Linked DNA regions of Oreochromis niloticus. The protein of the gene in region 4 interacts with the protein of the main gene of each other region in a pairwise test. Links are inferred from orthologs where the notes say so. Each region holds a gene or a part of one and is shown on either strand. Other genes may lie near its edges.

The links.
Region 1: the proteins of stat3 (region 4) and blk interact in binary tests that used the Homo sapiens proteins (3 or more experiments, as listed by UniProt). The link is inferred for Oreochromis niloticus from reciprocal best matches to the Homo sapiens genes STAT3 and BLK.
Region 2: the proteins of stat3 (region 4) and sri interact in binary tests that used the Homo sapiens proteins (3 or more experiments, as listed by UniProt). The link is inferred for Oreochromis niloticus from reciprocal best matches to the Homo sapiens genes STAT3 and SRI.
Region 3: the proteins of stat3 (region 4) and rpa2 interact in a two-hybrid assay, tested with the Homo sapiens proteins (2 studies listed by BioGRID and IntAct, with this or other methods). The link is inferred for Oreochromis niloticus from reciprocal best matches to the Homo sapiens genes STAT3 and RPA2.

Annotation. Positions count from the first base shown.
Region 1 is NC_031980.2:8,612,237-8,619,186, forward strand, and holds the start of blk (tyrosine-protein kinase Blk), read left to right. Parts: upstream 1-3,925; 5' UTR 3,926-3,988; intron 3,989-4,943; 5' UTR 4,944-5,030; intron 5,031-5,203; 5' UTR 5,204-5,204; coding exon 5,205-5,300; intron 5,301-5,424; coding exon 5,425-5,455; intron 5,456-5,821; coding exon 5,822-5,915; intron 5,916-6,012; coding exon 6,013-6,111; intron 6,112-6,239; coding exon 6,240-6,343; intron 6,344-6,457; coding exon 6,458-6,607; intron 6,608-6,950. UniProt on the Homo sapiens protein: Non-receptor tyrosine kinase involved in B-lymphocyte development, differentiation and signaling. B-cell receptor (BCR) signaling requires a tight regulation of several protein tyrosine kinases and phosphatases, and associated coreceptors.
Region 2 is NC_031976.2:29,809,380-29,816,431, forward strand, and holds the start of sri (sorcin), read left to right. Parts: upstream 1-4,035; 5' UTR 4,036-4,188; intron 4,189-4,348; 5' UTR 4,349-4,355; coding exon 4,356-4,403; intron 4,404-6,511; coding exon 6,512-6,556; intron 6,557-6,725; coding exon 6,726-6,795; intron 6,796-7,052. Other genes in the region: uncharacterized protein LOC100710708, read right to left, coding at 674-746, 942-1,014, 1,222-1,509, 2,428-2,593. UniProt on the Homo sapiens protein: Calcium-binding protein that modulates excitation-contraction coupling in the heart. Contributes to calcium homeostasis in the heart sarcoplasmic reticulum. Modulates the activity of RYR2 calcium channels.
Region 3 is NC_031976.2:26,300,372-26,307,389, reverse strand, and holds the start of rpa2 (replication protein A 32 kDa subunit), read left to right. Parts: upstream 1-4,009; 5' UTR 4,010-4,156; coding exon 4,157-4,169; intron 4,170-4,368; coding exon 4,369-4,463; intron 4,464-4,689; coding exon 4,690-4,791; intron 4,792-5,141; coding exon 5,142-5,255; intron 5,256-6,268; coding exon 6,269-6,343; intron 6,344-7,018. Other genes in the region: smpdl3b (acid sphingomyelinase-like phosphodiesterase 3b), read right to left, coding at 307-669, 1,025-1,158, 1,305-1,485, 1,651-1,820, 1,947-2,090, 2,199-2,296, 2,473-2,689, 2,769-2,856. UniProt on the Homo sapiens protein: As part of the heterotrimeric replication protein A complex (RPA/RP-A), binds and stabilizes single-stranded DNA intermediates that form during DNA replication or upon DNA stress.
Region 4 is NC_031969.2:26,414,316-26,421,748, reverse strand, and holds the start of stat3 (signal transducer and activator of transcription 3), read right to left. Parts: upstream 3,010-7,433; 5' UTR 2,763-3,009; intron 313-2,762; 5' UTR 291-312; coding exon 163-290; intron 1-162. Other genes in the region: cavin1a (caveolae-associated protein 1), read right to left, coding at 5,404-6,168. UniProt on the Homo sapiens protein: Signal transducer and transcription activator that mediates cellular responses to interleukins, KITLG/SCF, LEP and other growth factors. Once activated, recruits coactivators, such as NCOA1 or MED1, to the promoter region of the target gene.

The DNA.
Region 1 (6,950 bases), on a different chromosome or scaffold from region 4:
CTATTACAGTGAATTCCACAAATTAAGCTACAATATAGCTGAACCAGTGGTGTGTTATGTCTGCAGTACAAAGAGCATAATATGGGAAAATAGTACAAGGAAAACTGAAGCTCAACTAAAACTCATGAACATCCTGGAGGTACAGCAAAGGGGCCTGTTCAATACATCGGGGGAGCTCAATTGTTCCTTGTTTATTGACAATCACTTTGTCTTTTTATGGCAAATGTAGCAGCAAGACCTTCTCTCAGTCGATGTGTGACAGAGGATAAAAAAGGTTCCCACACTGAGAGGAAGTCAAAGAGGGGCCACTTCTGATGCGGAGGGGGATCAAAATTGAGGAAAGTGCGTGCGTGTGAATGTGCGTGGTCTAGGTATTACTCATCTTGTGGGGACCACAATCAAAAAGGGACAAAAAGTATGCGTGTGAGTGGATGTGTGTCTGTCTGTGTATCTAAATAAATAAAACCTATGGTAAGATTTGAAACAGCACTAGCTTGCCGCACAGAAATCATTGTATAGCTTTTCTGAAAACACCCCCACCCCCACCCCCACGAACACACAATTATAAAACACGCACATTTGCAGTCACACGCAGCGCACACTCACATTAATAATGGGAGTTGAAAGTATCTATTGGCAGCATGTATACTTTTGGCACAGAGGTGGTCAGAAGTGCATTTACTAAAGGAGACCCACGCTCCCTTTCTTTCCCACTGTTGTTCAGGTTATCCTGTGGGGCCACTTATGACCCTTCTGCAGGCAGGATGCAATGTCTGGGGACCCCAACAGAGCTGTACACGAGCATCCGCCAAGCCCTGGGAAGAAAACAAGGGCTGATGGAAAACTAGAAGAAAGGAGTATAAAGAGAAACGGCAGTTAGTAACCAGGACGCACTCAATAACACTCACCATGCACCTGCAGCCTGTGTGTGTGTGTTTGCGTAAATGTGTGTACATGTGTGTACAGTGAAGCAAGGTTGTTCCTTCAGTGAACTACAGCATAGCACAATCCCCACACACAGCACAGGTGGTCCAAACAAAAACCTGTGAAGTGTTGCCCAGAGAGTAATATCCCCACGTTGTGTGTTGTATAAACCCCCCCATAGGAAACAAACACTTCCGGTGTTGTAAGATTTATTGTTTGGTGCACTTATAGGTTACAGTATACTGTGACTGATATCTTCCTTATACGGTTCTTTGATTTATTCTCAATATTTAATAGCAATTTAGCATGCACGTGAGACATGAAAGGGTCATAATTACTGCTAGATAACTCAAGGACATATTGTTTTGTGTTTATTGTCTCACTCTGAAGAAGAGGGGTGAATTCCCTTGGCAGTGCATTGTGTGGTGAGAAAAGGAAAGACCTGGTTAACTGTTTTGTATGGTGTGAAAAACCAAAGCATTGTTGTACTGACCGCACACCATCTTGCTAAATTTTTGCCCCAGATAAGTCACGATTTGCATTCGATTTCACATCTGCACACCTCCACCTGCACCACATACAACACAGAGGAATCCACAACGGTTCAACACTATGCTTCTATATGTGATGTCATTGTAAGGGTCATATATACATAGAAATGCCAAGAATTAGTCAGAAATGGTTACACAACTTTGAACTGACCTACTGTAAGGACAGTCTGGGATTAGAATAAGTCTGGTTACACCCTCTAGTGTCAACACTGGGGAACATCGGGAAGCAATTTCTCATTTTGAATAGTGCTATAAACAACAATAGTATCAGTACCATTAAAAGTAAGCTAACTAACATGAGATCAAATTATGGCCACATTTCTTGCCCTGTAACCATTTTATATACAAGCAGAAAGATGTCTTAACTTTTTGCTTGACTCACTAACCTAAAGTGTATCTTTATTAAGTATTTGGTGGTATTGCATTGAGAAGTCATTATAAGCAACGCACAGTCATGTGAAAAACAACATTGTCACAACACTCATTTCATACGTTGCAATATTTGTGTGAAAAACTAAAAACGCCCAATGATTCAGTAGCTTATAGCAGTGACCTGAAGTAACCACTTTCTGTATGACTGCATCAGTCTGTCACTGTCCACTCTACTCTATAACACTATTTTTTTAAGGCATTTGTTTATGCACAGCTCTCTTAAGGTCCTGTAACAGCATTTGAGATCTGGACTTTGACTGGGTCACTGAAACATCTTGATTTTTTCAGACATACTCTTGTAGGTTTGCTGCTGTGCATTGTCCACCGATTATTGTACACGATCCAGTTTCAGCCAAACTTTAGCTGTTGGACGGATGACCTCACATTTGACTCTAAAAAACTTTGGTTTAACGCCGAGTTCATGGTGGAGTCGATACCTGCAAGGTACCCTGTGGCTGCAAAACAAGCCCAAATTATCAACCCGTCAACCGCCATACGAGACACTGGTATGAGGCGTTTGTGATGACATGCTGTGCTTGGTTTTGGTTTGTTTGGCGAAAGCATCATGGCCAAACATGTTCATTCTGGTCTTGTTGGTTGAAAAGACAGTATTTAAGAAGTCTAGGTTTATTCAGATTCATCTTTTCAAGCCTAAAATGCTCATTTTAGAGAGAAGAGGGTTTCCCCTTGGTGACCTTTTCAAACCAGCCATACTTATTCAGTCGTTTTCTAAACATACTGCACTGAATGAGGCTTTTAGAGTCTCAGATGTAGCTCTTTGGTTACCTTTACCTTCGTTATTGCTATGGAAGCAGTATGAGTGTTGTTTGTTTTTTACAGTACTGCACAGAGTGCTATAAAAACATTTTCATATGACTATATTTAACTACTTTTGGGTTTCCTGTGTAATAGAACTTATTGCATACAGCCTTAATAATGAAAAAGTATCAGTAAATGGGAATTGTGAAATCTTGCTCTGTTATTACATGGAAACAGACTTAAACTGAGTGCATGTTTTGGGATATACACCTTCACACTTTACTGTTTTCTGTGGTCATCAGGCAATATAGGCAAAAGAAGAGCTGCAAGGCCCTCATTTGTTGCTATTGTTACTGCAATAAAAATATTAATTAACACAATAGTAATCAGTTATTGACATTAAAACTTGCATAAAATTTATAAAGGGGTATATTACCAGGGTGGTTGCACATCCCACTAGTAGCTGAACACTCCCTCTTGTGGCTGGAATTGTGTATTGTTTTACAGTATTACTGTAAACATGTTTCTTGACACTGAAAGGTAAAGATATGAGTAGCAGAGGCCAGCAGAGGAACTGAAATGTGTGTCATGGAAACCATGCCCTGTTTCTTTATCTTGCATCTTATACACTTGAGCAGACAACACTCCACCACACCTACATTTAACACCAATCACCCAGACACACAATACAACACAGTGCAGACACTTCTTTTTTTCCATTGCATTGTCGATTTGATACCAAAGGTCATTTGCATTTTTTAAAAAAAGATCACAGGCACAATTTTTGCAAATCATTGACCGCATCTACACATTCTGAAGTAAAACAAGCTCTACTGATAGCTAACCTAAAGTCCTTCTTGACCAATAACTTTGAGGACCATACATTTGTGAGTTTTAATACTTAAAGATGACATACAGTTATCAGTTGTGTTCACTGACTAATTGCAGGACTGGGGCGGGGTAACTACTGCAAGTGAAATTTAATCAGAAGATTATTTTTGCACTCTGTAGGTAGATCATCTGCCTGAGAATCAAGGGAGAAATGTAAGAGACCAGACAAAAGAGCAAACTGCTGTCTGTTTCCAGTAAACTGAATGTAACCCCAAAGGGGAGGTCCTGGTCTTCACTGTTAGAGAGAGAGAGAGCGAGAGCAAGAGAGAGAGAGAGAAATTAGAGCAGAGCAAAAGAGAGAGAGAAACTTTCCAAACCAAAATGAGTGAGTGAGAGTGACACACTGACAAGCACTCAGTTTTCAATGAGGAAATTGAAGACATTTTGCATCTGGAGTACTTCTGAAGACACGAGCCAAAGACAAGCTAAAGGTATTTATCTGCTGAATGAATATATTACATTATAGAGCAGTGACAGGCATTGAGAATTTCTAGATATTGTAAGGTAATGGTGAACATAATAGTGTAAGTAATATTTTATTTAAATAATGGTGTACAATGTTGGTAAAACACATCAAAAATTAAACAAAACATAACGCGTAACGTGGATGATCAAATATGTGCGATAAATAATTGGCAAAAGTATCAAGGCTAATTATTATTATGAATTTTCATTTCAATTATCACTTTTTTCCGCGTGAAATCCATAAGTCAGCGGTTTGTGTAAAGCCTCCCTACAGGCATGCATTTCATGACATATTGTTATTACACACCACTGAATATTAAAGCACTGCTCTTGCTGTTTTAGGGGTAATTTTCCATTTTAAGACGTAATTAAACCATCGATATTGATAATACGGTACTTACACATACAGTCTAAAGCATACACAACACTCTACACTACTCTGCTACATCATTATTTTATCAGTGTTGTATATTTGCATGTGCAGTCATTATCTTTAGCTTTTGTAATACACATTACATCAACTATATTTGACTTTGTGATCTAAAAAACACTTTTAAGTTTTAACATTAACACCTCATAAAACTTGCTTCAGACAAACAGCAGTTCTTTTTTAACACCATCGCTTGGTTTGGTATCATTTCTACACCAGTGTGTTTTTAGCTATTTTTAGCCGTTTTCTTTTCCTCTATTTTTAACTGAAACTTGACAATGAAGCCCCATCATAAACTGTACATGCTAATGCAATGGTAAAGAGCTGTAAACACATTTTCACTTCCTCTTTTGAGAGCCAGTTTTTGTTTTTTGTTTTCTTGTTTCAATTTTATTATTTTTTTGGGTCACCTGTTACCAAGCAATACATCTAAAGAGATGCTCACTAAATACATTTTTAGCAATTTTGAGTCATTAGATGTCGTTTTCCAGCACCGGGCATGAAGTCAAAGAGCAGGCCCTGCAGTGGGAGGAGTGGAGACTAAAAACAGCAGCAGGAAAGCTCATCTGTTTGATCAGGTAAAAGCAAAGTATTGAGCACATTGTAGCTATGTGAGTGTCTTTCCATAAACTTGTTGAATCATTGTTTACTGATACCACACTAAACAGTGCATTCTGTAATTAGATATGTTATTTTAGTAAATGTTAGCATCATGTAACATAGCTAAAAGAGATTTCCACGAAACATGCAGGATGGGCTGCACTTGCAGTGGCGAGAAACAAGTAAAAGAAGAAGGATTCTACAAAGGAAAACACAAATCACACGCCTCCCCGTCATCAAACCATATAGTAAGTAAAACACTAAAAAGATTTACTCAGATGTGAAACAAATTTTACTCTAATTACCTCAAAAGGTTTACTTGACAAACTGGACATAATCAACGTCTTCTTTTTTTCTCTCCATTCTTTCAAGGGACGAAGTGGAAACGCCTATACAAATAATGGTAATCACAAACCTCCTTGCATAAATCAAACATCATAGTAGAAAGTAACAGGCCTGCATTCATGGACCCAACTGCTGCTGCGTTAAGAGACATTAGTGGCAGTAATAAGAGCTACAGTTTTGCGATCGAAATCTCGGTTGAATTTCCTCTGTTCTCTTCTGGGGATTAGATGAGATTGCAAATACATGAAAGTAATGTTAATGTCACAGATGTAAAATAACACAGCGGTTGCTCGGAGAAGGAAAACAATATCACCACAAATTGCGCATGTTAGAACACAGGATCATGTCAAAATAAAACGTCTAAGAGTAAAAAGCAGATTAAAAATACACTTTTAAAGAAACTCTGTGCTCTTCTTCCCTTTAGATGACACTATATTTATTGCACAACACGACTTCAAAGCGACCAACGACAGTGATCTGCCTTTCAGAAAGGGAGACAAACTTAAAGTATTGCAAGAGTAAGTCTCATTCTATGGTTCCCACAGTTGTGAAAGTGACAATAAAGAAAGCGCACAGAGAAATAAAATGAATGCGACGTGTTTGTCTGATGTACAGAACCGGAGAATGGTGGCTGGCCCGACTGCTGACGACTGGACAAGAAGGCTTGATACCATCGAATTATGTAGCCAGAGCAGATACACTGGAAGTGGAAAAGTAAGCTTGAAATATTATGGAATGAAATGTAGCACGCATCTATTGATTGATTAATGTTGTTGTAATGCTTTGTATTATTATATTCAGGAAGAGTGACTTCTATGGTTTTGTGGTGCTCTCTCTTGCAGATGGTTTTTCAAGGATTTGGGCAGAAGAGAAACCGAGAGGCTACTTTTAGCACCCGGAAATAAACCAGGGGCCTTTCTAATTCGAGAGAGTGAGACCTGTAAAGGTGACCACCATCAGTATCTTTCCGTGATCATGCCACAAATCACATTTTTAGCAGCTACCTGTATTCATTTTCAGTGTGGTCAATAAACCCAAATGTCCCTTTTTCCCCTCTCAGGGTCATTCTCGCTGTCAGTCAGAGATTATGAAGGGGAAAGAGGAGATGTAGTAAAACATTACAAAATCCGTTGTCTGGACAAAGGTGGCTACTACATCTCCCCTTCCAACACGTTCTCGACCCTACAGGAATTGGTTCAATACTATACCCGTAAGTAACAACTACAAATACAACATCTCCACCCTCAAAAAGTTTGTATTTTCAGAGATGTATAATTTAAGAAACCATATCTATGCACAGGATTTTCTGTTTCTGTGTTTCCAATTCAGCATTTATAATTGTAAATCCTGCATCTTGCATTGATTTGGACTCAGGTTAAGCTTGCTGCTTTGAATTATAAAACATCTGCAGTGACTTTGAATTAAAGGGGGAAGTTCGACCCTTGTGATGTGTTGTGCATTTCCTGAGTGAGAGGAGTGATAGTCTTTCCACTCCTGCGACTAAACCACAAGATAAGCAGGCCAGATCTTGAGAAAGGTTGTCTCAAAGATCA
Region 2 (7,052 bases), on a different chromosome or scaffold from region 4:
ATATTATATTATATTATATTATTAAAATAACAGCAATTCAGAAATTAGTTGTAACTTTTTTTTGTATACATAAGTATCAAAGCCAAGGACTCATATAGAATACAAACATATCTGATAAATACATAACTCTAAACCACACAGTCATAATGCAGTGGATTTTAGAACTGTGCAGCATAGTTTGATTCTTCTTGTGCCCTTGGGTATACTCACTTCACACTGATGGAAAATTGTTCTCCAAGTGCTCATTTCTATGGTATGATATAATATTTCTGTCCCATTGGCGATCGTTTTAACGGGTTAGTGCTTTGTATGACTTTAATTGGGTGTGAGGTGTCACTCTGTCACTGTACCGTTTAATAAACATAAGAATTACTTCAGTCATATGACGTAAGTGGTGAAAAGTGATGAAATTTTAACCCAAATCAACACATATGGGACATCTTCTATTGCATTTGTTACTATCATCATATAACACCAAATGATGGCATTTCTTAGAAGAATGGCATTGACTCCCTAAGCTCTGGAGACATGTTAACACCAGGGAAGCTATTCAGCCCCGCGTCTTCATCATACATACAACTGCATTTTATTTAAATTTGTCGTCTGTCTGTGCATTAAATTTAGTTTACAGAGCGTACAGTGAAACTGAGAAACACTGAAAGGCACTCCGGCTTCATGTGGGGTACGGCTGGTTTTCTTGTGACGTATCTGGATCCAGCAGATCATCTGCATAAATATCTTCTGTTCTGTGGGAAGAGAAAGACAAGCAACCAACTTTTTTAACAACATGTAGTATGTTTGTACAAACTGCGCTGTATTTATGTGTTAGACAAAAATGTTATGAGGTGTACAAGTGTTAGTTGTGCAAAATAATATAGAAACAGTTACTTTATTTGCTGTAATGATGTTGGTACATGATATAATAATTCTTAAATACTTACATTACTTCCAGAGTGTCTTCAACTGCAACCTCCTCTACAACCTCCACTCCAACGATCACGTTCCTCCTCACAGCTTGAATCAAATACAAGAACATTTTTGATATGTATCAATTGGATGCCTGCATAAATATATGTGTGTGTTGGCTGAATGACAACAGCAATCTCAGCTTTAAACACCCCAATGGAACATCTTAGTTCAGTACATTGAATGCCACAATTGCTAAGGTAAAGGAAAGGATATCATTAAAGAAAAGACCCTAGAAACTAGGTGTAGTCTCACCTCCACAGTAGATAAATGGAGATCCTGATGAGCAGTGACCCAAAACATCTGGTTCCCTCTGTCTATAAACACATCTCTGGGTTTCCATCCCTGGACCTCCCCAGCACTGACAACCCATGAAATGCTGGAATACATCTCCTTGCTCAGCTTCAACCACTGTTATTTGCTGCAAAGGAGCACCCACGTCATGCTGACACAGGCCTGTGCTGCTGGGGATCCCTGAGTGGACCTGAGGCTCGTATATGGACCACTGAGCAACAGCAGACTGACTGATAACGTCATCACATCCTGAAGAAATATATGTGAGATACAAAGTTAACTTGACCAATAAGTGGCTGAGGTCGAGCTATACATTACACTAAACAACAACCAAAATATCCATGGCTGATTAATGCAGGGGGTGGCTTAGAGTTACACGTCATGGCTGAATCATATGTCTGAACCATCTGTTTCCTCCACCTGCTGATTAGACCTGCTGGGTTTGGACTAAAACCATCAGCAGTCATCAGTATACTGGCACACATTCCCACACACACATACACACACAACAAATATACAGAAATAGCAGGGAGTGTGGGGTTTCACAAACAAAAAAACAACATTAAATAGGATTAAATTTGTTAAGATTTGTAATTTATACCATTTACTCCAGTGGTGAAAGCAGTCACACTACCAACAGTAAGTCTTTGCAAACTCATTCTTCAGCAATAAGTGATTTGGGATCTACTTGGATTTAAATGTGACTTTTGTTACATAATGTGGCAGCTAAGGACAGAAAAAAAATTGAGCATGTGTACTTGTTTAGCTCTCCTCTTGGGAAATAAACCTACACAATGATGATTTGGATCCTTACTGATATTTCTATTATTTTATTATCAGTTCATATATCTAAACACAACAGGACATCCCTTTTATTAGTCTAGGCCAGACAGTATGTGTGATATCGTTCAGTTTTTTAAATGGCATTGTGATCAACTGAACACACATGCATTTTCTATTTTTTCTTTTTTTTCTTTTTAAAAAATATTATGTTTGTCATACATTCCATGTAGATTTGCTCTCAATGAGTAAGGTTCTGTATGATGTCATTTAATAATTAGATATGCTTTTTATGCACTTTTTAGTGCCTACTTTTTTGTTATGTTTCCCATTTTTAACCTGTCCTGCTGCATTTACAGCTGCAAAAACCTGACATCTCAGACCTACCTGTACTATAGCAACATACAGCTGGAAGTTCTCCTGTTTCTTTATCCTCCTCCTCTTCTTCTTGGTGGCTCACCATGACAGAAAGAAGGCTCCCTGAGTGCTGAGGATGAAGACACAGAGAAGGTCTGGGTGACCAAATCCAGCATTCATGACTAAGTCTGTGCATCCCAGCTCTAACTTCAGCACCGTCCACTGACGCGTGTGGTTAAAGCGGTGAAACAGATTGCCTTTCTGCCTCCTAAACAAACGATGGAGCCTCTGATTGGGTTTTCTCTGGACTGGAGGTGGAAGCAGAGGAAATGACTGTATGAGCCCCTTGAGAGAAGAAGCTGATTGGGCTGTTTGTTTCTGCCTCTGATGTAATGCCTTAGATTAAAGGATCAGTCCTGTATTTTAATCACTGTGTCTGCAATAGCCAAAGCATAAATAAATGAATAAATAAAATCAACTTCTTAGTTTTGTACCTAGCTTTCAGGAATAAAATTATTTCTTTTTGGCAGATCCAGTCATTTTTTAAATAGTAACATCTGAGAATTTATTTGTACTTAAGTGGTTATCGTTAAGGAAGGGCCAAGATAAGGAAAGATTATAAGGATTTATCACAGGAAAAACTATAAGTAAAAAGAAAAAAAAACATCATTCTGTATGTCTTAAGCAATTTAAAGTGGAATTTAAAATCTCCAGGGCATTATCATGGTAGCTTTATACTTTATAAACCATTAACAACTTTTTCTATCAATACATTTCTCCTGATTCATTTGTGGTCTTGAGGATACTTACTGATGCAAACACTTCGATCTCATGAACAAAGTACTGCAAAACAAACAGACAAAAACAAATCATGTCAGCTAAGCTAAAAGATAAATCCAGAAAACAAAGAAAGCAAGCACACTAGGAGGGCAGGGGGATAAACTAAACTTAATTTCTCTCACTCCTCATTCCTATTTTTTTTCCCCCCGTTTAATATCTCTTCCTGCTCCTCTGTCCTCCAGATGCATTTAAGGAATCAAGATTTTGGTAAACAGAGCTCAATGATTGATTCTGGGTCATGAGCATGAGACCAGAGGACAGAGGAGACAAAAAAGAGAAACGAGAAAACCCTTAGGGAGGGTGGGGAAATAACAAAACATGGTATTAATAACAACACAGAAAAATCCATGACGATTTAAGCTTTAAAATTTAACAATATGTGAACTGAATGAGGGGCCAGAATGAAACTAACACATACAAAGAGATGCAGACAGAGGCGACCACAGGAGTCAGTCGCAGAGAGGAAACCACTGGCAAAACAAGAAGTGTGAATAACAACAAAACCCCAGCAATCAACATTCAAAAACAGACAAAAGAAGAAAGAGAATAATAACAACATAACCAGAAATAATACAAAGATCACGACACTTTGCATCATAAAATGTGCAATATTATGTACGTAAAAGCTTTGTACAGCAGCTCATGGATAGTAAAATGTGACTAAAGGCTTTTACCGGAAAATTATGATTAGAAATAATTCGAGGATGGTGGTTAACCGCTTTAAAACTGAAGTATTGACTGATTATGATGTACATTTTTTAATCCATTAATTTACTGCAGAATGGTTTCACTTTTACAGCCAGCCCTCTTGCTCATATTGGTCAATTAGAGGTCACATGTCCTCTCCCTACCAATCAGAACTTAATGTGGTGGCTCGCACTGAGGAAAGTGGACATTTGCCCCTCCGAGGCTTCACAGTTTTATTCACCGAGGTCGTACTTTTTATATCAGGTAAGTTCACATTTAGATCTGTGCTTCATTGTACTTCACGGCACTTTATAACCTCACTTCTCGGTGTTTTCCTGCGAACATCACCAGACACGCCCTCAGTCGCTAGATTTGTTTTGCTCTGAGTCGTTACTATTCTTACGTTTATTTCGTTTTGCATCAGGAATAAGATGGCTTTTCCCGGATACGGCGCTGGCCCCGGTGGATTTCCAGGAATGGTAAGAAACCGCTAAATTGTGATGAAACGGTTTTACAGTCATAATCCGTCAACCGACCTTCGTCCCGGGATGGGCATCTTTTCCAACCAGTCCGGAAGTTGGACGGTTTGAGAGAAATTCCGTCTTTACATAAAGGTTTCCATTTGAAATAACATGCAAACATTTTGACAATATATTTGGTTTCAAAGTATCTTAAAGAATTTTTTCGGCTTTAAAATGAAACTCGAGCAGTATTTGTGTGTTTTAGATTCGTACTAACTAATGACTGCATAAAGGATGCATTCCGCAGTCAAGCAAAAGTGGTGTTTTTACTTAAAAGGTACTTAGAGTATAAGATGATGTAGGCATTTTTGTTGCAAATACACAGCCATCTATTCGCTTCCGCTTATCCTTATGAGGGTCGCGGGGGGCTGGAGCCTATCCCAGGTACCAAAGGCGAGAGGCGGGCTACTACCCGGACAGGTCGGCAGCCTGTCCGGGTAGTAGCCGGCAACCATTCGCACTCACATTCACACCTATTAGCAAATTTATATTAACCATTTGACGTAACCCCACTAACTGGATGTCTCTGGGTTGTGGGGAGGAAATCGGAAAAAAAACATGCAAACACGGAGAGAACATGCAAACCCCACACAGAAAGCCCCTCACCAGGTGGTGGAGTCAAACTCAGGATGTTCTTGTTGTGAGGCAACAGTGTTAATCACCCAAATACCCATGATTCTTATATTATCACATTTTACTTTAAGTAGCATCAAATAGGATTTAATAAGCTCATAGTGGATCATATTTTAACCTGATTATTGTTTCTAAAATCCTAACCATAGCACATCTGAAGCTGCCACACCTCATCAGAGCAGATAGCAGTTTGTTCACAGTGTAGTTGAAAGCAGTTAGAATTATACTAATAATTATACTAATTATATAACAAATTTGGACTTCAAACCCTTTGACAGTCTCTTGTAATGATTGCATCCAGATGTGTTGTGCAGCTTATATTTATCTATACATCTGTTATTTAGATTACAGTGTCTGTTAATGACAGAAATAATGGTGCTGGAGAAGGATGGCACATCTTCTTCAATGAGGCCTCAGAAAGCAGCCACGCAAATTAGAAAATACACTGAATCATTTCAAGCCTTTTAAGTGGCAAACAGGATTGTGAAATGATCAGCTAGATGGGTTTTGGTTTATAAACCCTGTGGTTACATTTTAGTTTCTCTCAGGAGATCTGATAGAAAGCTTTTCACCCAGTCATGATTGATTTTGCCTGCTGATTTAAAATGACTGAAACTGGAGGTTGGTAACCTACATAACCTAACTCCTGTTAGGTGTGTCACTTTTACAGCTGAAGTAATTAGATGATTGAACTGTTGGTTGACAGACACACATTCAAACAGCACTTTTATCTAACACAGTCACACTCCAATGCATTGAGGGCATTTCGGGGTATTACCCCAAGATTTTTCAACACATGGACTAGAGGAGCCAGGAACAATCCAACAACCTTCCGATCGCTAGACCATCCACTTCACCTGAGCCACACCTGCCTTTATGCTAAAATTCCTTTGCTAAAAACATTTTAGTCCATTGTTAGGCAACATGATGATGTCATACTAACTGATAAAGCCCTTTATATATAACCTTAATGCTAAAGGCTAAAAAGTGTCATATTTGGTTCCTTAACTAATAACTTAAAATAAATAAGTGTTTAGGAGGAGTTGGTGGGTAAAAAAGCCCATGAACAGACAGATAATGTCTATTATATGTGTATTATTATACACTAGTATAGTATACTATTATTAGTATATTATATTGATATCCTTCAGGATCCTGTTGTTTTCGTGAAATATCTAAATCATCTATTTTCATTTAAAGGTTTTCATTTAAAAGCATTTAGGAAATTACCTCCATAAAATAATATGTTTATTTATATTGAGACTTTTTTTAAATAGTAAAATTTGTATAAAGTATAGTTTGTTATTTACATAGCAGGACATAGAGTTCTATGGAACTCAATGACAAGTAGCCAAGTGTATCTACAAATACAGAATAATATGAAGAATCAGTTAAATCTCGCTGACTTTAATTTCTTTCTTTCTAACTTTCAGCAACAAGATCCTCTCTATGGTTATTTTTCAGCTGTTGCGGGTCAGGTAAGAGACTCGCACAAAAGTCAGTCTCAAATCACTTCACTAATTTTGGACGTGATGAACTGTTGATGTAGTGACCATTCATGCTTCTTTAAACCTTTGTAAAGTAGCTGTTAGTTACTTAACCATGTTGTGTATCCCACTTTGCCGTGTTTTTATAAAACCCCGACAGGATGGACAGATCTCAGCAGATGAGCTGCAGCGCTGCCTCACGCAATCTGGCATCTCTGGCTCATACCAACGTAAGAGCAAAAGACTGTTTAGAATTTAAAAAGCACCTCAAACACAATACAGATTTTGGTCATTTCATTTTATATCTAAATTATATCTGTGCCTCTTGCTAAATAGTACTGCGGTGTGACTTTTGGTCATAGTTATAAAAACCTTTGCTCTAAAAATCATTTAGCATTAAGGGGAACTCTCTTTTCGGCAAGCAGCAGTTTAAGTGCTAACCAGTGTCACTGGTATTGTGTTCAGTGCCTGGAGACCTTGAGAACTG
Region 3 (7,018 bases), on a different chromosome or scaffold from region 4:
ACAATGAAATTCATTACAAATGTTGAGACCAGAAAGCTATTCTCAGATTCCTCTGCTAAAAGTGTGCAGTTTTTAAGGTGGAACGTCATACAGCTGCTGATGAAGCCAGTCGGAAAGTCAGAGGGGGAGTTTGCATTGCTCAGTGGGTCAGTGATACATGTGTGAACATGACTTTTATACTTTTGAAACAAAAGATTATTGCATAATTTTAAATTCTGAGGGAGAAAGCTTATATGTTGGTGTAGGGAAACAATGAACCTATACTAAGTTCAGAGTTAGTTATAGTTCAAAGTAGTATTGAATTAATTACTCACTGGCCACCACCAGACTTAAAGCCACGGAGATGAGTGGCAACAGGCCACCATAGATGAAAACTGCCCCCTCTTTAACGAGGCAGTGTTCATACCTGTCAAAGTCTACCTCTCGTGCTGCGCACACGTGGTCAACGCGGCAGTCGCTGTCACAATCCCTCAGGTCATAGTTCACAGAGTTGAAATCATAGTACTTCTGCAGGTAGCGGGGGTCATCAGCTACACGCTTCAGAACCTCGTGCATGGAGGCTGGAGAGGCATCTGGTACTCTGAAACTCTCTGTGAGGCGATACTCTTTCTCCCAGCGTCCTGTGGCTACATTAGCATGAGTAAGGTTCAGGTAATAGGTCACCACATCCTGCGTGAGAGAAAGCATATGGTTTAAACACAGAAAGCAGAACATTAGAAGCATTACAAGATATTTCTGAAGGTTTTATAATTTTTTAAAATACAAATATATATTTATATAAGTTGCGTAAGAGCCTAATAATACTATTGCTACTTTTGACTGCCCCGTTGCCACGAGGAGCGTTTCACGTTTGATTTAGCAGTTGATGATTTGAGTTTTACACCGGATGGTCTTTCTGGAGCTAGAGTAAAAGGGGATTTTTGTATCTGGGTGATAATGAACTAGCAACCGTTCCCTTGTGTTAACCACTACACCACTAGAGGAACATAAATGTCTAATGAAAATTGTAAAGGCCAAAACTTGCCTTGACTACCAGTGTTTCTGTGTCATATTCAAAGACACGAATCCCAGGATTGTTCGCTCCATCCTTAACTCCAGGAAGTGTTGTTTCCCACGGTGTGACACCAGGGCTGAGGAACATGGTACTAATGGGAGAACCTGTAGAAACGGACAAGATATCAGCTCTATCAGTATTAGTGTGTGTTAATGTTAACGCTGGATATTGGAGACGCATTCCAGCTAAGTGATAAACAGGTAATACAAATACAAGGTGAAATGAGTACTATTACTGCAGTGTGGCTTACCCTCTGTGTTGTAGAACATACGGAAGCTATCAGTGTGATGATGGCCAAAGAACTGCCCTTTTATTACAGAATGATGCTTCTCAATTAAATCCAAATATCGCCGGTTGAACTTTGGTGTAAACCATGGCTTACTTCTTTTCTTCTCGAAGAAACCTGGAGGAACGTGGCCAATGATGTAAACCTGATAAACCAAACAATACAGAGTTAACTAAAATCCAATCAGGACCAAGTCTCTTTTTTGGAGGGGCAATTGCTTATACAGGATTGTATTCATTACAAACTACATCTTTTATTGAGCTCTAGTCCCTAACATCCAAACATCCATGAACAAGATGAGATGCTTTGCCTTCTCTTTGTTGTTGGCCGCCTCTGTAAGAATCTGATCTGACCAACTAAACTGGTCCGCTGGGTCATCCATGTTCTTGGTCAGCTTGTTCTGATCATAGTAGAGATTGGTGTTAAGGACCAGCATCCTGAAACCAGTCTGATTCATGAGCTTTTCTGTGTAGTATCCACCTGTGCAAGAGGAACATTGCAGAAAATGTCTGTTCAAAATTTTCCTGTGCATCATAAACTGATGTATTCATTCTTTGGAAAGTCATTACACATATATTTGTAACTATTAGAGAAAGCCATCTTCACCTTTTTTAAATGTTTCTTTTGACTTTGGATCCAACCAGCCCTGCCACATTTCTGCTATTCGGTCATACATGGAGTTTGGGGCTGCAGGAAGCTGACTCTTTGGGTGGTAATCATGGTTCCCCAGGGCTGAGTACACTTTAGTGTCTAAACAAGACAATAATGTATAAAAGACATTATTTATTAGAAGTAGCCAACACTTATACACTGTCGTATGCGTTGACCTTGCATGTTTCCACCCGATTTTGTACTTACTTGGAAAAACTTGATTTATGATGTCAGTGAGGTTGCCGATAATGCTGAGCACTGCCTCTTCTCCCAGATCTTTATCATCAACATGTGGAGTGTCATCACTGAGAAGTAACACAGCAGATTGTTTCAGGATTAATTGCAGTCAAACATTATGTCGATACCAAATACCAATCTGAAAATATCATGACTGTAAAGGCAGACAAGCATTTCTTTCCCCAGATATAGTCTTGAGACTAGCACTGTCCTGCAAAATTCATTTAAAAAAAAAGTAACATACCCAGTCCATACGATGAAGTCCGGGTTTGGTAGAATATTCTTCATTGCATAAACAGAAGAGTTGATCAGGTGCCATGGCGAGTCACAAACATAGTGTCCAAATTTACCAGCATTGGCTGCAGGTCGTTTGCCACTGGATGCGCACACCAGTGCAGGATTGTTGTTGCTCAGTTCGTACGTTGGGTCCCAGTGGAGATCCGTGATGTGCCAAAAGTTCCCTGTGTAAGAACGATGCGTAATAGCACCTAGTAAGTTACCCCGAGATTAAGATATATACTTGATTTATCTGGTGCTTACCTGAGAGCGCAAAAGCCTCTTTAAAAAGAAAGCAAGACAGAAGCAGCCTTACTGCCGACATGTCGAAGCCTTTGAGAGGAAGAAACATCCGACAAAAATCAAGACCTGATTTAAAAGGTATGCCGTAAGTCTATAAAGGCGAAATCACGATAAGATACGGCTGGTCATGACGCGTCTGAGGCTTGAAGGTGTTTGGATCCCTATGTGCAGGTGATACTTCGCTATCAGTAATGAAGTTCAACCGTCACCCTGTGATGCAAGACTACGTTTTAGCCTGCATACAATAAAATAAAATAAAATAAATAAAAATAAGTTTCAGAATAAATTTAAAGACAATAAAAAGCTTCAGCTGAGAAAACCTCTATACACACATCTGTGAAGCTATTTAGGAGTCGAATTCCTGCTTGTAGACTACGCCTAGACTATTTTTATGTGGACTAAATTTAAATTTAGTAGACCTTCTTTTACCTTATTTGGGCATGCGCTGTTTAAGAATCCAATAAATATACATACATTCATAGCACAAATAGGAGTATATATAGACACATTATATTAAAACACATCTACGTGCGAATGTTTTCGCGGTTACAGTGTAATATTTCACTAAATACAAAAAGGATTTTATGCATGGTGCCCTCGCGTGATACTCGTATTCCCCAAAATCGACACTGTTATAACTGTGGAGAATCTGTTTCTCAAGCTGATGATGCAAATAAAAAATTGTTTGCTTTGTTTTGCTTTTGTGATTATTATTATTTGTTTCGCTTATTTCTTTTTACAGTAAAGGGGCATTTGGGGGAAAAGCGTAGTTAATCATCGTTGGAACTTTTGCAATGTCTGTCTGTTTTTGATAAACACAGCTATGCGTTTGCAAATGTTCTTTGGAAATGATTTTTGCAAAGCCTCAAAACCGCGCGTGAGCACGTAGTTCTTCGGGAAGTTCATGAAAGCAAACCTAGGACTCTTTCAAAATCATTCCCTGATGTTTCTCTTTCAGGCAGACGTAACTCCCAGGCTACGGACTGCTTCATTAAGTAATATAGCAAATAATGATAATAATAGTAATAATAATAATAATACTAATGTTAGCACATGTTAAACAGTGGTTTGGGTCCAGAGTTTGTGCTTTTGCATTGGTCAGTCTTGGCGCTAGAAGGGGAACGATAGCCTGACAAGCAAAACTTAGGGCTGAATTACTTCATCTTTAAGCTCTGCGTCATCATAGATTTCGCGGGAGTTCCGCTGTGCGCCTGCGCTGTACATTGAAGCTTGCGCGCGGGATTAAACGAGGAAGAGGATCACAGAAATACGTTTGGCTACAGATATTACTGCACGGTGTAAATAACATTTTACGCCTTACTTTAATAAGTTATACAAACAGCGGAAGCATGTGGAATCAGGGTGAGTTGTATTTCGATACCGTTGTGTTTATAAATAGCCATATGGGCTCGGTGACGCTGTGTTGTTTCGGTCCACGTTAGCTTGACTACAGACGTCTTTGTTATTGTGTGTTGAATGTGAGTGTAGGTGGGTCAAATGAAGATCATATCGAATAAACGATTTCACTGACACAGTTGTTTACCTCTTTATACATTTTCAGGAGGGTACAGTGAATCCAGTATGGCTGGGGGCTACACTCAGTCTCCAGGAGGATTTGCATCACCTGCCTTATCCCAGGGGGGAGAGAAAAAGGGGGTCTGTACTTATATCTAAACTTAAAAGTCGGTATAATTCACTAAAGACTTGACACAGACATAAATCTGTAAATATAGTGCTGAAAACCAGCAACAACATACCTTCATTTGCCAAATGACATATCCCCTCTTTGTACACATGTTGACTTCTGTGATAGAAGCACAAATTGACAGGTCTCTGCTGCACGACAGTTAACCCATTTGTGTTTGGGTGTATATCTTTGCAGAGAACACGTGCCAACCAAATAATCCCCTGCACAGTGTCTCAGCTAATGTCTGCTTCCCAAGCCGATGAGTCATTCAGAGTAGGAGATGTGGATGTTGCCCAGGTGAGCCAAACCATTCAGTTAGTTCTCTAACCAGTTACTTTTTCAGCACTTAAAATCATTAGTTTGTTACTCTGTAATACAGTTTTTTTTTTTTTACTTCTGCAGTTGAACAACAGCAACTTTCCACTCCCTTTTGAGTACAAGTTACTTTTGTTTACAGAAATTATGTAAATGTGCATATATGTCGATTGTACTTTTTTGTCCTTTTAAATGTTTAAAATAAACATCTATCTAACAGTCAGACCAAATGCAGAATTTTAAATCATTTTATGTTACAACATTTTGCAGCATGGACGTAATAACTATTCTAATATTTCCAGATTTGATAATAATTGTGGTCTGTGTCATAGGTCACCATTGTGGGGGTCATCAGAAGCACAGATAAATCCATGACCAACATCCAGTACAAGGTTGATGACATGACAGGTGCTCCCATGGATGTGAAGCAGTGGGTAGACACAGAGGTAAGTATCCACCATCACAACTCTGCTGCAAGCTCAGTCTGTATTGAAACATGAGGTAATTAAATCAAATCAAATCACTTTTATTGTCACATCACATGTGCAGGTACACTGGTACAGTACATGCAAGTGAAATTCTTGTGTGCAAGCTTCACAAGCAACAGAGGTGTGCAAAAATACAATAACATAAGAACAAGCAAAATATAAGAATGGGTAAATCTGAGAATTAAATGAATAAATATATGTACAATATAAGAGTGTATGCGCATTGCTGAATGTGTATACTAAATATGTATATCTAGGTGTGTGTGTGTGTGTGTGTGTGTGTATTTATATATATACATATTTTTAAAAATTAAATAGAATAAACAATAAAATAAAATATACAGAGGTTGGCAGTTGGAAATGTGCAAAACAAGTGGCATTTATATACAGTATGGAGTGCATAATGTTGAAGCTCTGGTAAGTGAAGGTGAGGTGTCTATGAAGTGTTCAGCAGTCTGATGGCCTGATGGAAAAAGCTGTCTCTCAGTCTGCTGGTACGGGACCAGATACTGCAGAACCTCCTTCCTGATGGAAGTAGTCTGAACAGTTTATGGCTGGGGTGACTGGAGTCCTTGATGATCCTCCCCGCTTTCCTCAGGCACCGCTTCCTGTAGATGTCCTGGAGGGAGGGAAGCTCACCTCCAATTATCCGTTCAGAACACCGCACTACTCTCTGGAGAGCTTTGCGGTTGTAAGCGGTGCTGTTGCCATACCAGGTGGTGATGCATCCAGTGAGGATGCTCCCAATGGCACAGCGACAACAGACAATATGTATAAAATGTATAAAAACTCTATTACATAGTGAGAAAACTACTAAACTATAATATCTGTTTAGTATTGCATTTCTCTGAGTAGATGGCTAAAAGGAAAGGGCAGTAGTACCTCAATGCCAATCTCCTGTTCTAAAATCTTAAGGAAAATTAGCTGGAATTGTATGAAAAGGATCAAGTATGTGCTTTTTATTTATACAGGACCAAAGTGTGGACAGCACTGTCCTTCCCCCAGGAACTTATGTCAAAGTGTCTGGAAATCTGCGCTCTTTTCAGGTGAGTTTAATATTTGCCACCTATGACCGCTTATTAGTTTAAAAGTGTGGTTGCTATCAGGCCCCAGCCCATTCCGTCCACCGTCCACTCCATCCACCGTCTACTACAGGGGTGTCCAACTCCAGGCCTCAGGATGTGTCCTCCAGAGAGGACATATCCTGCAGGTTTTAGATGTGTCCTTGATCCTACACAGCTGATTTAAATGGTTAAATTGCCTCCTCAGCATGTCTTGAAGTTCTCCAGAGGCCTGGTAATGAAATAAATCCTTTGATTCAGGTGTGTTGACCAAGGGTCATATCTAAAACCTGCAGGACACCGGCACTTGAGGCCCTGCTCTACCAGCTTACTTGGTGGTTGGGTTGATGTTGTGGCGTTTTTCAAAGTCAATCAGCTGCTTCCCGCAGTCAGACTGATTCCTCCCCCCCCTCAACCACAAACAGACTGTGAATCAATTGGAAATGGTTAATTTAAAGTAAATGCTAATGACATTTCCACAGTACCCAGAATCAAATAGGAACTTATGACTTGCATCATGATTTCATCGAAAGGCTACATGACAGTGTAAAATTTTTAAGCGGCTGTGTGATTTCTCAATCATACAAACATTTTTGACAATCTCATATTTAATTTTGTTCACATTTAAACATTTATTAACCTTTTTTTGTGTGTGTGTGA
Region 4 (7,433 bases):
AGAAGAGGGTGATAATGAATAAATTAAAAAAAAAAAATGTTAAAGCCAAAAAACATTTTGGAAGTCATAATGAGTGGCCATCTCCAAATCCAAAGGGAGAGAAAATTACATGAATTAAAATGTAATTTCACAACAGAGCCTAGAAATGTAATTATTTCTTACCAGTCTTGACTCTCAATCCAAGGCGCAAGAAACTGTCGTAACTCCATGGGGAAGCTGTCACTGTACAAGTGGTAGAGTTGCTCCAGGTACCTGGTCTCCAGCTGCTGTAACTGGTTCCACTGGGCCATCTTGACACTCACCTCCTTTGGCCTACATAAAAAATATGAGTGAGACAACATAAATTCTGCAAAAATTCTATAAAAATACAAACTGATAATACATACTGCCACAGTTCCTGATAGAATCAGTAAAACTAACTGTAGGGAAATAGCTAAATATCAAGTTTTCTCTGAAAACGATGACAAGCCCATGAGAGGCTTCCTATTCAGTACAGTCACTTCCTGTTCACTGAAACACTACGCCTCCACCAAGAAATTTAGGCCAACATGAACAGCTGTCGACTCCCTGAGCAGACAGGAGTTAATGATCTTTGGTGGTAACTTTGCCTCGAAGGTATCTCACTGCACTTTCTGTACTTTGCAATTTGAGTAATAGTCTTTCATTTATTTTCAATCACTTGATATCAGATATAACTCTTATCTAGGTTATGTAACTATAACTTTTCCATCAGATCCACTTGAGATGTTCTGCTAGCCTTCTCATGTTTTCACCTAAAGGGTACACCATTCCCTGAAGAATTTTCTACTGTACACTAACAATAACCAGACATTCAATAAATCCAAAAGGAAGCCATTTCCTTTGTTTAATCCTTACATAACATGTTGGATAGTGTTGCAGTAACATCCTTCCACTGAATGTGTATACTGTGTTCTCTAATACACTTAAAGTTCAACTTAAAATATAGGCAGAGACGTTTAACAAAGCTTTCATGCTTGGTATCTGCTGACACAGAAATGTACTTGACAAAAAACAAAACTTCACTTTCTGTTTCCAAATGTAAAGATTTTCTTCTGCTGACAGAAAGCATACCACTGAAATAGTGCTGTTCATATCTGAATAGGTTAAAACACGGGACCTGAATTTCCATCTGTCTAGGTATTAGCATTATTCAAATCAACGCTATGTAGGCTCCATATTCATACACATGGAGGTGAGTGCAAAGTAACATAATGCCTTCTCAAAAGCATCATTTTAAAACACCAACAGAAAGTGGATTTTCCAACATTCACTGAAATCAGTGTTCAAGGCAAGCCACTAGTTTCGGTAAAAAACCCCAAAAAACAAAACCACTAATACCCTCACTAATATTGCGTGGCTATTTTAAGCAGTGAAGCCACATAACTAACTGTCCCATATCCCATAGACCCATGTTCCTCTTTCTACAACATATGAAAAAGATGCATTCATGCATGGTGTAGATTTCTGGGCATGTAAAAGACCTGGGAGAATCAAATCAAAGAATAGCCAAGTCATTATCAGCTCAATTAAAAAACAAAACAGTATTTCAAGTGTTCTCCATGACCCTTAGGCACAGTTGTACGTTTATTGTGTAAGCTACTTATCCCGTTTCTCCTGAAATGGCTGGACTATTCTGACACTTACTAAGCCCTTCTGTGAGATCTCTGCAGAATTATACGTGTACTGTTACAGAAATAGTTGTGTTGTATTTTTAATCAAGAGTAACTTTAGAACAGCAGCTTGTTTATGTCAGATGAAAGGAATCCATAAAGTCTAAACAACCCATCTGTTGGTTGCATAACTTAGAAATTTTGCTTAGGTCTCACACATTTTGTGTTCCTTTTCTTTTCACACCTCTATCAATGTCTGAGCTTTAAAAACTAAATCTAAAGCTCTCAAATTAAAATCCACAACTCAGAATTAGTTATCATAAATAAACCTGTCTACCCAGCTTGTCCACTGCCCTATGCTCGGAAGTAGGTGGCACAAACGGTAAAGCAAAGTGCCATTCATTAAAACTCATACCTATGATATTCAAGGAAGCACTTCCTTGAGACAACAACGAGAAACAGTAAGCATGTCAACCTTCACTGGCAGTGGATGAAAACAATAGTACAACTACATGTGTTATTAGGCAAAAATAAATAAATAAAATACTGATTGATTATGATGTGCGTCCATATTCAAAACTCTCCAAAAGTTAATAATCTGCTAACTCACTGTCCCCAATTAAAGCCTAATTTATTGAATGCAAGCCTTGAATCATAAGGCTAGGTAGTGGGTGTGCTGTCCAACTGATGGCATGGTGATGGGCGTGACAGCTTAAAGAAAACAGAAAGGACTGAACTGAATTTTCCTCGGTCCAAAGGGGCATCCCGTTAAAGCCCACCTTCCCTTTTTAAAGCATATCAGATGTACTGCCATTATTAAACGAGGCGTTAGAGAGTAGACGAGTAAAATAGAGCACACAAACACAAAAACTCTTAAATATTACGTCTGTAATATACATTTTACAAGAAACGAGCAGAACTGTAACACACTTAAAAACGTTATTACCACTTTAATAAATGATGTATCACTGTGAGCAGAGGGGGTTTCTCCAACGTGAATAACTAAGAACCTATAAAGTACTGCAAGTGTACCCCAGCAGCGTTATCGATATTAGAAGTAGACGTGCATTAACATTACGTTAAAAATAAAGAATTTACACCAAAAGCAGAAGTCGATTTATATTTGCTTACCTGGCTCGATGCCACTTATTTAGAAAGTTTCTCCGCCAAAACAGTAACCCTTCTCATAAAACACACTGACGATAACGGTCAGTGGCAACTTTCGTAAAGATTTTACCCACAAAAACGACGGAAAGCGCTCGAAAAAACCCCGTAAGTCTTTATATTCTCTTCCCAACACGAGAAACGCTTCTTCGTCGCAAGTACGGATCTATCAGTCAACCCATCCCCTACATTGCAGACTTTCCAGCCAGCCAAACTCCTTAAACTATTTTACTGACATTTCCAGCCGCCAATAGTGGTCTGCAACTCTGCTGTCGCCAATCACAATGCAGCTTATAAGCAAAGAAGGCGGGACACTAGCTTGAGGTTGGTTGAGGAGGTCCGCTGTACCGCTGTCGCAACTGCGCTGTTCTGCTCTGAACACCCTCCCCCCGGGTAAGCCACAGAGTAGACGTTTAAGCTGGGTAGCACCGGAGGGGGGACAAACATTTTCACGGAACAGCCAGCCTAGAAGTCATCTGAATTACCGGCAGTGCCGACGTCATCGAGAGTTTAATAACACTAGAGCGCTTCATTATTTACCTTTAGTCATAATTCGACCCTCTGGTCACGGTAGGTGAAGGAACACAAATAAACTTATGAACTGACAAACAAGACAACATTATCAGCCAGGTTCGTAAGAATGATGCCAGGCACTACATATTATTTAGTAAGGCGTTTATTTATATTGAATTTGTTAGGCATAAAAAGCCTTAAACACAACATAATCAGTCAAGCGTCATTATTTGAATATAAATCAGTAACACCAAGAGTAATATTATGTCACATAAGGTTGCAGGAGTGTTGAAGCTCATTTTCTGAATAACCAGCAGCTTAAAACAAGACAAAATAAACAGGGTGACAAAAACACACATTTCTTCTAAAGGAACCAGCGAGTATTATGGATAAAGTAAAGGTTGTCTTTGCCAAAAAAAATTACAAAAAATAACATAAAATAAACAAAAGGCTAATGCTATGAAACTAACATGCCCATGTGATTTTACAGGCCCACAGCTGATTTCTTTATTGTTTTGTGTGATTTCAGCTTCATGCTTGGGTACGTGACATGCGCATACTGTCACCATTTATTAGTCTCTCCCTCCCTCACATAGACACGCAGACACATATCCCCTTTGTCTTTCTCAATGTTCTCTGGTTTGTGCAGTTCTCTGACCGAGCACTCTCCTTAATTGTATTTCCCCGCCCATTGATTACTTTAATGGTGGTCGATGCTACACAGTAGGCCTCTGTGTGTGTGTCTGCACCACATCAAGGTCATTCAAGTCTCCAGGGAGGCAAAATGGAAGACATACATTCACCTTGTTTTTGTCTGGAGAGCGATATGCTCGGCCTTACAAAATCAGAAGACTGACTGCGCATTGCCATACCAGTTTACATTCATTACTGCTTGGCTGTTTTCTCCATCATATGCCAACCAAATTGTATAATTTACGACCAGATTTTCATAGTTTTTTGCTTTGGATGTTCCTGTAATAGTTCAGCTTCTCCATATTACATACAGCAGTCATTAAACTGTCATCTCACATCTCTTTAGACCATCTTTTTTTCTGTCTGTAATTACTTTGAGAAATTTTAATGGGCATGAAAATGTACTGTGATGAGCTGTGACCATGGCGATACTATCTTTTTTTCCTCCCCTTTGTGCAGCAGTGCAATATGTGCAGCTTAGTGAGAACGTGTTCAGACACGCCAAACGTTGTATCCTCATTAAACACTGTTTATACTATAGCAAAAGTTACATTCCGAATCTTATTAACGTTTTCATTCAGTTTTTCCTTTTTTAATTTGAATGAAAGCTGAAAATTGAGCTGAAAATTTTACTGCCCCACATACACAACAGTATATTTTGCTTTTTAGTGTGGTGTTATGCATTTAAACATTGTGATAGTTGAATTTGTCACAGGTTCATGGTTCCTAGTATATATTAATAGAAATTGCACATCTATTTCCAGCCATTCACACTTAAGTGCTTAACAATGAGAAACACTGTATTGTAACATTTGGGAAAATGTTTGTAATCTTACGAAATATGGAGCACAGTTTAGTTAAACGCCTTAGTGTAAGTCCAGTGCAACAGATCTTTTCTTCACTTGTTAATTCTTCTGTAGAAGAATCCGTCTACAACTTTTACATTTATTTTTCTTTACACATTCACATCACTTCACCCGTCCATTACAACAAAAACCTTGCCAAAAACTTCATTTTCCCATATTTGTTAAGGCGAATGCCACACTAAATATTGTCTCTTAATCACAATATTTTTTTTTGTTTTTCTTTTAGCCACACAATTAATCAAACCAACAACAAACAACAAATACTCTAATTTCTAAGTGTAGCATATCCAGTCAGCCTGTAACATAATTCCGGGTTTGTCTTTTTTTCCATTATTTGAGTGCTAAATATGAACAAATATGAAAGTTATCCCTGTTGGGAAGAATACAAAGAGAACAGAAAACAAATAAGATGTCATAGATTGTAATCATCTATAAAGTCCCTACTGTGTCTTTGTGATTATATTCATTCGTCAATATTCTGTTTCCTTCTTCATCTTTATATAATTGCTTTCACAGCCCTGTGGAGCTATGAGACTCTATTCACTTTGGGCTTTCTTTAGGTGGTCTGTATCCACCCTGACCAGGTCAGAGTCTTCAGTCACCTCCAACAGAGTATCCATTTCAGGGCTGTCTACACTGACAAGCTCCCCTTCCTCCACCTCCACGTGCACACCCATCCCGTTCTCCTCTCCCTCTGGCTGAACCTCGGCCTCGCTCACTTCCACCATCTCCGTGTTCAGCACCACCTCCTCCTCCCCTTCCCGGATCTTCTTAACATGGAAGGTAAAAGGGGGAACGCGGTACACGGAGGTCTTGGAACGAGCATACATCTTGTGGTCAGGGGTGAGTGACTTCTTCATCTTCTCTTTGGAACTCTTTATCTTTGCCCTGCGCTCCTGGTTGGGGGTCATGCGGGTCCCGAGCTTGCCGATCTTCTTCTCAAGACTGTGCTTGGTTTTCTCCAGGTTGTCACGGGTTCTCTGTCTTGTCTTCTCCAAGTTTTCACGGGTTCTCTGCTTGGTCTTCTCCAAGTTTTCCTTGGTTTTTAGTTTGGTCTTCTCAATTTTCTCTTTGGAGAAGGCTTTCTTTATGTTATCGACTTGCTCTTTTGTGGTGCGTTGGAGGCGCCTTGTACGAGTCTCTATGAGCTCCTCTTCAATCACCACCTCTTCATCTGAATTAAGATTGTCTCGGAGTCCCTCCTGTCCCTCTTCAGGGATTTGCTCAAGACCCTCCGCTGTTTTACTTTCTACTGCCTCTGCTGTCTTGGATTTGGATGCCTTTGGTGGCTTCACTTGGTCCTAAGGGACAAAATAGGAAGGATAAGAAAGAGAGAAGAGCATTAAGCCACCATAGCAGAGTGAGCGAGACTGAGTTAAACAAGCTTTTCAACCACTTTTACAAAAATTTCAGTGGACATGATGTTTCAATAATTGCATTATATGATTAATGTAAAAATAGCATGTGTTTCAATATGTTTTCAAATGTACCACCTATACAAAATTAAGCTAATGGGCTTAAGGTGTGCATTGGAATTGCAAATATCAGCCTGAAACTCTGCAGAGTCATGCATCATCAAGTAGTCAGTGTAAACATGTCACTGTTTGCAGCTGGTGTGGAGTGCCATCTAGTGGTGTCACTTATATGCTGATTATTGTGCAAACAAAATGGTTTTAAATTTTCAGTTATGAAAAATAAAAGAATGTAGCCTGGCATATTTACAGTAATTATTATATGGTATGTCTTTAAACTCTAGTAAAACTATGGGACTTGAAAGGAACCGTATATTATCTGCAACTTTAGTCATAATGAAACTGAAGCTCACAATTTGTTCATCTAACCACAGGTTTATTTCCTGCCACTTACATATCATTTCTATATAAAAGTCTGAACCCACTTTTGAAGAATTAATCTTCAGTTAAATCTCTCAGTAGACAATTTCAACTTGTGTTTGGTCGGGAAAAGTGTTGATAATAAAATGCAGAATAGAGACTGGTGGTTAAATTTCACTGGAAATACTTAGTGGTTAGAATAGTTTCGGTTTAGCACATAATGCAAAGTGCAGCAGTTTCAGAGATGGACAGAAATTGCTGTATAGGTAAGGCCAGAAGGAGGACCATTGTATTTGTTCTATGCAAAGCTACACAGGAAGGTATCACCCTGTCAAACCACTTGGATGTGCATCTATTTGAATACCCTCCTACAAGTTACAAAAAAACAAAAACAAAACCTTAAATCAAAGCATTATGAGAAGGTTTTCTGTTTTTTTTTAAAATTTTTAATTTTACACCTGTCAACAAAGTAGACCACATTTCCATGTTGTTTGGCAGGACACTGTCAGTGTCATTCCAGATATCCACAAAGGGAGGAGCAGTACTATGATAGAAATGTGATTCCCCCAACTGTCAGTTACTGATAGAGGGATCAGTCGTCCCACCCTGCTGAACCACACCTCAGTGCACCATCACTATAGTCACTGACTTTGTAGATACACATTAAAAAAATCAGTTATTCATGAGACAAACATAGATATTTAGGAATATTTAGGATGTTCACAGTCTGACAT